2 linked regions of the Caenorhabditis elegans genome follow. The protein of the gene in region 1 purifies or fractionates together with the protein of each later gene. This does not show direct contact. Each region holds a gene or a part of one and is shown on either strand. Other genes may lie near its edges. The genes, in order: sqst-1 and lgg-2.

What was found.
Region 2: the proteins of sqst-1 (region 1) and lgg-2 purify together in Caenorhabditis elegans (affinity purification with western blotting, with the first as the bait; one study listed by BioGRID). This does not show direct contact.

The regions. Positions count from the first base shown.
Region 1 is NC_003282.8:12,032,166-12,037,576, forward strand, and holds sqst-1 (ZZ-type domain-containing protein), read left to right. Parts: upstream 1-2,116; coding exon 2,117-2,285; intron 2,286-2,594; coding exon 2,595-4,399; intron 4,400-4,447; coding exon 4,448-4,555; 3' UTR 4,556-4,726; downstream 4,727-5,411.
Region 2 is NC_003282.8:10,933,381-10,937,702, reverse strand, and holds lgg-2 (Protein lgg-2), read left to right. Parts: upstream 1-1,799; 5' UTR 1,800-1,841; coding exon 1,842-1,947; intron 1,948-2,565; coding exon 2,566-2,734; intron 2,735-2,785; coding exon 2,786-2,939; 3' UTR 2,940-3,507; downstream 3,508-4,322. Other genes in the region: Protein adenylyltransferase fic-1, read right to left, coding at 1-108, 153-231; lsm-7 (U6 snRNA-associated Sm-like protein LSm7), read right to left, coding at 3,593-3,698, 3,787-3,895, 4,023-4,116, 4,171-4,176. UniProt on the Caenorhabditis elegans protein: Ubiquitin-like modifier involved in the formation of autophagosomal vacuoles (autophagosomes). When lipidated mediates tethering between adjacent membranes and stimulates membrane fusion. Less effective at promoting membrane fusion than lgg-1.

The sequences.
Region 1 (5,411 bases):
GATTGCTTTGAAGGGGTCCAGTTTGAGAAGTTGCAGGTGTTTTTCGTTTCGGAAAAAATCGAGATTTCCTGAAATGCGACTGTCATGAGTCAAATTTCAGAAAATTCCACGTTTCAATTTCGATGTTAGATTATAGAGACCTTTCTAGCTTCCCATTTCACAACAAACCCCTCTTCATCATCATGACGTCATACAGTCTCGTTCTCTTCTCCAAATATAAATGATCAGCTGTACAGTCACTAAATGCAGCATATCAGTACCTTATCAATTGATAGCATCACCACATGTTCATCTCGCCTCAAATTCAAAAAAAAAGCAACACTTCACTCCTAAAACAGTTCCATTTTCGGTCGATAAACCATCGATTCCCCGTTCACTCAGCTGTGCGTATTTTCTCGTCATTCGTCTCTTTCTCACAGCCTACACTATTCGCGAAGCCGTCTGCAATCTGCGTCTCACCTTGGGCCCTATGCAGAGGGACAATCAATCGGCCTAGAGGAGGCTGGTCATGTGTTTATGCATAGAAATATCGAGAAAGAATGCGAGACACAGAGATGAAGAGGCATCATTCGGCCTCATTTTGCCCATAGCAACACTTACACTCGTAGGCTCGGTAGTGGAATGTTCCAGATGAATACTCTTGCTTTGACACGATATTTAAGTAGGAAATTCCTTTTCTAAAATCTAAAACTAGCAATTTCTTGCGGTTGTGTAACCGAATCAAATATTCGAAAATTAGCAAAATTTCGCAATGAATATTCTCGTTTTTTGGCAAACCGTTTCTTTTTTGTCATTTTGACTATTACACAGTCTCCTCCAGTGGAAATCGGTCCGTTGGCGCACTTCTCGTGCATCGCGTGGAAAATTGAGAAATTACCAAAACTTTCAATTTACTGTTTTTCTTTATATTTTTCATAACATAAGCTTGGGTGGAAGATTACTTTTCAAATAAACATCAATTTCTACTAGAAAAATGATGATAAATATACAAAATATGAGAAAAACTCAATTTTTAGTTGTTTTTACTTTTTATATCAGCGCTTTTATTTTTGAACCAAAATCAAAAAACTTTTTTCTCCACCTTTCCCCGAATTAGCTTTACAATTGATACCTAATTTCAAAGTATGAAATCGATTTTAAACCCACAAAAACCGAAGGAAATCATTTTTCAGTGGTAAAATTTTGCAACGCTCACGAGAAACGCGCAAGCCCCCTTGTTGGGTCATTTCCACGTGAGGAGGCTGTGTATTATCCTTTCTGATTTTTTCCGTCAAAAATACGGTACCCGGTCTCAACACGCTTTTTTGTTGTAAAATACAAGCAAGTATGCGCCTTTAAAGAGTACTGTAATTTCAAACGTTTTTTGCTGCTTAATTGTTTTCCTTAACAATTTATTTGTTTATTTAAAGACTAAAAATTGAAATTTAAAAGCACAGAATTGTTTTAGAAAAAAGTTTTAGAATACAGTACCGGTTGGAATTTGAAAAAAATTGTCGTGTCGAGACCGGGTACCGTAGTTTTGGCGCAAAAATCACAACATTTCGCGTATGGATAATATTTAATTGCATTTTTACATAACTTTCTTGTAGGCCCAACAGTACCTACTTGCCTGCCTACAGGCAACTCTCTACTGCTACTAAATTTTTGACGCCTTCACGAAATTAGTCACTTATGATAATGAAAGTTTATATTTTAGTTCTAGAGAATCTGTTCAACTAGATCCTAACAAAAATAGTCTCCAAGAAATTTAGATGAATGATAATAAAAACTTGTTGGAAGTGATCTACTAGATCTAGATACCACCTTGAACTTTGAAGCCTTGAGTGTTTTTCTTTTCATATCTCCGTTCTTGCCCCCTTTGTTCATCTCGTAAACATCTTTAAAGGTTCCAAAAATAGTACATTTCCTTTTTGTTGTTGCATTATTCTCCAAAAAAATGAATTATGGTTTCAATTTCTTACACAATACAATCATTATGATGATTATTCGAAGTATAATATTTCGAAATTTCCTTTTTTCGATTTCGCAACTCTCGCAACTCAATAATGTCAATACTTGTTCTATTATCTTTCACTCTCTTTTCACTCACTTTCAAATAACTTCTCATTTTACTCAGATGGCTGCTGCATCATCCGCTCCTCACCAAATGCAAGTTCGTGTGACTTTCTATACAAGTCACAATCCGCAATCGGTTCTCATGATTTTGAAGAACGATCAGGCTCTTCAACAGATCTCCGAGAAGGCAAGAGAACTGTTCCCATCGGCTGATTATCGTCTCTACTACGGTAAGATATTATACTTTTGTTTTTGCCCCGTTTGCTAGACGAATCAATTGTGCAAATAGAGTATTTGTATGCCACACCTATGTTATGACAAAAAAGTACGGTGCCCGGTCTCGGCACGATTGAAATTTTTAATGGACGTTCCGAGGAAGAGTGTGCGCCTTTAAACAAACCATTTTTTTAAATTTAAAGTTTAACTAGATTTAAAAGGTCGTTATTTTTGTAAAACTCAATTTAATTAGATTATATTTAAGATTTCTAATTTCCCTAGATATCTCACAGTAACTTTTTTCCAAATCTTCAAATTTTCAGGTGATGTCAACGGACCAATCTTTGAGTTCACCAATTCGGATCAGATTATGTCTAAGATTCGAATCACTACATTCTCTCGAACTCCTCAACTTTTTGTTCGCCTGGAAACTGTTCCCCTTCGTCCAACAGCCCTACCATCAGTGAGCACTGAAACTGCCAAAAAAGCTTCCGATGCTGATCGTGAATCAAAGAGCAGATCCTCGCTGAAGCGTATCGAGAACAACCAGGAGCTCACATTGAAGACGCTGGAGAAGTTGCAAAAGGAGCTCTCAAGAGTTAGCGCTTTGGAGACGATGGTTGCTGATCTTCATGCAAAGGAAAGAGAACCTGTTGTCGAGGAAGTTCAGAAGCCATTCCCTCCAGTGAAGCACTCGGCGTCTTGTGATGCTTGCCTCGGTGACATCATCGGACATAGGTTCAAGTGTCTCGAATGTGCCGATTATGATTTGTGCGAGAAGTGTGAGAGAAAATCTTTACATTATGAGCATGCAATGATCAGAATTGTGGAGCCAAAGAAAACAATGATCCCATCATATGTGACATCAAACTCTCCGAACAATGTCTTCCCAACTTACATGCAGCACAAGATCCAACAACCACAAACTATCAAGGGGATCAACAAGACTGTTATCACGAGACTCGTTCCTTCACATCAAGTTAATCCAGCTCCAATGCCTCAAGCTCCACCAGTCTCCACTCCAGTTCCATTCCCTCCATCTCCAACCATCGGAAATGGAGCAGTTCCAAAACCAGCCCAGGAGCCTCGGATCCCACCATCTCCAACTTCTGCTCTACCACCACCACAATTCTTCAATGAGGAGACCCGTGCAGCCATTATTAATAGTGCAGCGTTGCTCAAGGAAACTTTCAGTACTTTGAGCAGAAGCTTCTTGGATTTGGCAGATGGTGCACAGGCCAATATGGATAAAAAGATCATTGAACGCTCGACCATGGAAGCAGGAATGACCAAATTCGAAGAGAAAATGGATAATTTGAAAAGACACTGTGAGGAGAAATATCTTGGAACGGAAACTGCTGAAGCTGAGAAGAGCGAGGAATCTTCGAAGAAGCAAGCAGATAGCTTGTCTGGACCAAAGATCAAGAAGGCTAAGAAGAAGTCCTGCTACAAGAAATCTGCCGAGAGACTATTCACAATGCAACTTGCTGCGGCGGCTGCTGAGCAAGCCCGTCTTGAACAAGAAGCCAAGAAAAGAGCTGAAGCCAGCTCTGCTGAATTACAGAGGAAACTTGCTGAGCTTAATGTGAAGGAATCTCAATCAAAATCCGAGGAAAACATTGCTGACTTTGTCCTATACGATCTTTACGGAAACTCCTTGGAAGCTTTGTTGAGAGGTCGTTCGAGCTCTAGAATCGCCGATCCTCCGACCACTCCAAATACCGAACCAGCCACCACAGAGTTAGCTTCAACGACCTCTGCAACTCCAGCCGTCACTGCTCCAGCATCAATTGTTCCAGTTACTCCAACTGCACCAATTGTTGAAACTCTGATCGTTCCACCACTTCCACCAGTGGAATCAAATCCAGAAGAGGTTACACCAATGGTGACTGCACCAATCTCAATTCACTCTTCTTTCGAGAACATTTCTTCGGATTTCGAGAGCCTCAGTCCATCATGGGGAGGATACCCAGATTTGGAAGCTGCACAACGTCTAGAAGTCATCGATGATAACTTACTCGACTTCTCTGATGTTGCTGTTGAAGCCCAGGAAGCTCAAGAAGCTCAAGAAGAAGCTCGCCCAGAGCCAGAGCAATCTCTACCACCATTTAATGAGGAAACTGAAAAGGTAAATCTAAATGTCGTCCATGAATCCCCTAATCTAACGAATTTTCAGACATTCGATCGTCTCCTTGAGATGGGATTCTCCTACAACGTCACTGTTGCTGCAATCAGAGCAAATGGATCGAATCTCGAGATGTGTCTTCAGGCGCTTCTTCACTAATTTGTACATCCTGTATCGTGTCGCCCAACCAACTCTCTCCTAGATACTATTAGTCATTTTCATCATTCCAATGGAAAGCTGTATCTATTTTTTCTCGTCTTGAACCTGAAAATGTTGCTTTTGCGTAAATTGCTTTTTTAATAATCTGAAATTAATAAAGTTGTGGCGAAAAATTATTGTCAGCTGGTTTATTTCAAGTATGGTGTTGCTTTCTGAAACTTGGAGGCTGAATTTTTCTTACATCTGTAGAATTTTATCACATTTCGAATAATTTCAGATAATTTTTTAAAAAACCTTTTCCAAAACAAACTATGAAAAATAAACTTCAAAACATCAACTAGTTCTATTCTCAGGTTGAATATCATTCATTACCAAAAGAGTTAAAGCGTTTTCCAGAAAAAGTTTCGATAATTTTCCAAAAGCCAATTCGAATATTTTCAGCAAGTCGCCGCGTACATTTAGAAGCATCTATCATCTTTGGCATATGGAAGCGAACAGCTTTGAGCAATACGTTTTTTCAGTACAGTTACAAAATCCCATTTTTCTCATCGTTGCATCGAAGATTTTTTCAAAAATTTATATAGCAATAAATAACAATATGTGTACATTTTGAAAATACTTTTACTTTAGATGGAAAGTTTCGAAAATTTGCTCAAAAACCGGCTCAAATATCAAAGTGCAAATCGGCGCATGCCACATTTCGATTTTTAGGCAGTTTTTCAGTAACTTTTTGAAATTTTCGATCCAAAGTGAAATCATTTTCAGAGAGTACAAGCATTTCTCTATATGTCTATATAAAGTTCCAGAAAGTAATTTTGACACAACATGGAGAAAAGTACAATTCGGGAAATGTGCC
Region 2 (4,322 bases), 1.1 Mb from region 1:
CATATGGTACAAAATGTTGGCAGATTAGTGATACTAAAACTGAGATAATGATGACTGTGGTTAGTGAATAACCTTGTGGTGGGGCCGATTTCGGATCTTCTTGAACTACTGAAAATTATATGTTTTTATTTGGAAAATAATCAAAAATGTACCATTTAATTTGGAAGGTCTTCGGGTTTTTTCCAAAAGATAGGAGAAATCATCGGAATGAGTTCGTCTTCGAACTGACATCACATTATTTAAAACTATCTGCAAAAAAACAAATTTTCCAGAACTTATTCATGCATTTGAAGCGAAAACAAGAAAAAAGATCTGCAAATTAATTTTGAGCATGATTCCACCTTTCGCTTCGAGACCAGAGTAAAAAAACGTTAATGCGCCTTTGAGTTACGGTAGTACTGATTAATGGTTTGAACACCAAATGCATTTTTTTTCGATTTTGGCATGTTTTCCTTCTTTTTTTTCAAGTTATATCCGAAAAACCTAATTTAAAAAACTGAATAATCTTTTATCTAAATATTAACCATATAAATATCGACATTCCACTCGATTTCACAAGAAATTTCTTCATCTTTGAAGTTCGTACGCGGAAAATGCTATTAAAGAAAAGAAAATAAACGAGACGCAGACAAATGCACACGGCGTGCGCAGTAACATATCGATTTTGAGACGTAAACATAATTGAGTTCACTAGTCATGAGAGTCTGTTTACTCGTACATCGATTTTTCACTTTTCTTTCTTTCCCCTCATCACTTATTGTTTTGCTCTTTCCATAGTTTCGTCCTCATCTCAAAACTTCTTTCGAAATTATTTAGATACCCGCATTTTCAACAACGGAAAATCTAAGGAAACCCTTAAAATGTCAAAAAAATATCGCAGATTGCCAATTTTTGCTGTGAAATCTTGATCATATTTCATCACTTCTCCCTTTTTCGAAAATCGCGTCAAAGATCTAAAGTTCCGAGAAAAAAGTTTGCAGAAAAAAACGTCAGTTGTTCTGATTGGGAGTAGTAGATTCAGACTGGAAGTTCTAGAGATCATCTGGTTCCCCTGCCCTTTATCTCTCCCTGCCACTATTTTCAAAGTACAAGCACTTTTTTTACGTAGACCGATATAAAAGAGTTGGCTGGTATAGATAAAATCTTTAGTTTTCCGTTAATTTAAACGGCCCATTTTAATATTAGAAATTTTCATTCATAAAACCAAGCATTTTCACACTAGAACATTAGTTGAGAAGTTTTCTAGGAAGTATTCAATTAAAACGTTTTCTCCTATAACTTTCTTAGTGTCGCCAACAAGTCTCGCTGTCATATTTATTTAATTCGTTGCCACTCATCGTTTCAAATTTCGCTATCATTTCATCTGTCTGACACTGCTTCGAACTTCTGTATTAGCTGGGAGAAGGGTCATAATACACACTCTCATCTTCTCTAACTCTATTCTTTCTTTTCCCCATCTATTCCTTCATCACATGATTCTTCTCTTCTCATCGTCTCTCCGTCTCGCGGTCATGTGTCCTCGACGCTCAGTCGATCTTGTGGTGTGAGAAAAGAGAGTAGCATCAATGAAGAGACACAGAGGACAAAGAGACATACAGCAAAAGAGCGTGTGTGCTGCCTACTGCCTCTGTCTCGATTTTTCCCTCTGTCCCATTCCCTTTCACCTGTCTTTTCGCTTCTTGATAAAAAAATTCTCACAAAAACATACAGTGTCCTTTAGCATCTCACACTCTAATTTCTCTTCTAAAATCAGTTTTCTCAACTTTTCAAATACCAGTTACCATTTTTCAAGTTTGCAGATCGAAAATCGGGTCTCAGCACGAAAAAGTGAAGAAGCGTTTATGCTAGCCACGCTTCAAAGTTACACACAAACAGCGATGAGCGGAAATCGGGGAGGATCTTACATTTCCGGAATCGTTCCATCGTTCAAGGAAAGAAGGCCATTCCGTAAGTTTTTTAAAATTCATTTACTAATCAAACAATTGTCATCAAAATAAAAATAGAGCTTCAAGTCTCACTTTAATTTTACTTTAACATCAAACATCTGGTTTTCATCCCAACCAATTCATTCCCAATCATTCCCACTTTTTTTTCCTTCACCCGTCCATTGTAAAAGGTCAGAGACGCAGAGGACAGACACCCCGCGTCATGCGTTTCAGCGAGAGAGCATGAGGAAACAAGAGACAATATGCAAGTGAGACATGTGAAAATCAGCTGATCTTGTGTGAATGAGTGACTATGTCAGTGGAGCAGCACCCATGGAACATTGCGTATTAATTGGGTGCTCTTCGTTGTATGAAAGAAAGAGATAGATGGACCTGAGAAACAAAGATCAATAGGGCAGGTGCAAGGGAAATAGGATTATAGGAAAATTTGGATCAATATTGATATTCTAGAGTTCAAAATATTGCCCACCATTCAAGATAACAACCAAAACTGAACGTACGCCAATCTTTAAATAGAAATATGAATTTTACGAGTGGAAAAGAGAAATCCAGAACTGAGGAACAACTTTTTTATTTTCAAATTTTCGAAAGAAAACCTTTTTAACCTATTCGATTTCAGATGAGCGTCAGAAAGATGTGGAAGAAATCCGCAGCCAACAACCGAACAAGGTTCCGGTAATTATCGAAAGATTTGATGGAGAACGCAGTTTACCACTTATGGATCGCTGCAAATTCCTAGTACCCGAGCATATAACCGTTGCCGAGCTCATGTCAATTGTTAGACGACGGTGAGCTATTCAACTGAGTTGTTTTTTCAAAATCATCCGTTTGCTTTTCAGCCTCCAACTTCATCCACAACAAGCATTCTTCCTGCTCGTCAATGAACGCTCAATGGTGTCAAATTCTATGAGCATGTCCAATTTGTACAGTCAAGAGCGTGATCCAGATGGCTTTGTGTATATGGTTTACACGTCTCAACCAGCATTTGGATAACACATCAAGAGCCGTTTTCCATCACAATTCTAATCAATTTTTAAATTTCCACCAACACCACTGATTGCCCAATGCAATCCTCACTGTAAAATGTTGTATTTTTAAATGTAAATACCTGAAAACCCATCATACTCAGGCGCCAACCATTTTTCTAGTTGCCTTTGCTAATTTCGCCCCTCGCAATTCCCCACCTCAAAACTTCCAGCTGAAATTTGTTTTACAAACGAAAAAAAAGAAACCCAAATTCGCTTACGTTTTCGTGTAGTCTTTATGTGTTCCCTCATAACTCTTTCTCCGCATTTTCCAGCCCGTTTCTTGAATTTCTTCATGTCTTCTTTTCACAACTGATCCTCTTTCAACAAAATTTAAACCGTTTACGATTCTGTGTACTTGGCTAGTCTCTAAAGCCCATAGGGACTATTTTCCTTACTGCCCTGAACATTGAAATTTACCGCTATGGACTTTCTGACTGCCTAGACGGATTCAATTCAAAATTATTACATCTTGTTCCATCGTTACTTTTCCAAATTCAATGTATCAAATGTTTTGTATGTAATAACAACTTTTTCGTCGTTTTTATCTGGAGAATGTTCATTCACAAGGAGATCACATACATATATAATAATAATAAGAGATGATGATGATATCAACGATTATTCTTCTTCCTGGGTTGCGAATGGATTGGCGATTTGCTCGAGTCCATCTGCTGGGCTAACTACTGTAATTGCTGTTCCGCGAGCCACAATAAGACCCAGTTGTCTTAAGATAAAAGATAAGATAAAATCGAAAATCTAGATTTAATTTGAAATCCAAGCTTTAAATCGATTTTTGGAAATCTATCAATTACCTTGTCTCATCACCGACGACCGAAGGATTTTGTGGATCACGGAGATACTCGCGGCAGTCATCAAGAACCATATTGAGCAACTGATCGAATCCTCGAAGCACGCCACTTGCTGAAATTTATACATTTTTATGGAGTGAAGTACAGCTTGTGTATGTTGGACGCTTTCATATTGTTTAAATAGTTTAATGACGGAATCTTATTGCTAGTGCACATCATTGTGCAAAAAAAAAACCAACCTTCACGTCCTCCTTGGAACTTGACGCGAATCTCTTTGTCGAGAAATCTGGTGAGATCAACGACAGACTCCTTCTTTCGTTTTCCTTCGTCTTTCTAAAATAATACAACAATTATAAATAACTTATTCATTGTATTTTTAAAACATACCGACATTTCTCTGTGTTGAGTTGTGGTGAGTCTGAAATAATTCCGAAATTTTGAATGAAATTATCGATTACGAATGAAATAAATTAAGCTGACAAAATCTTATTGATTTAGAATTTTTTTAAACGGTATTTTTAATTGATAAATTATGATTT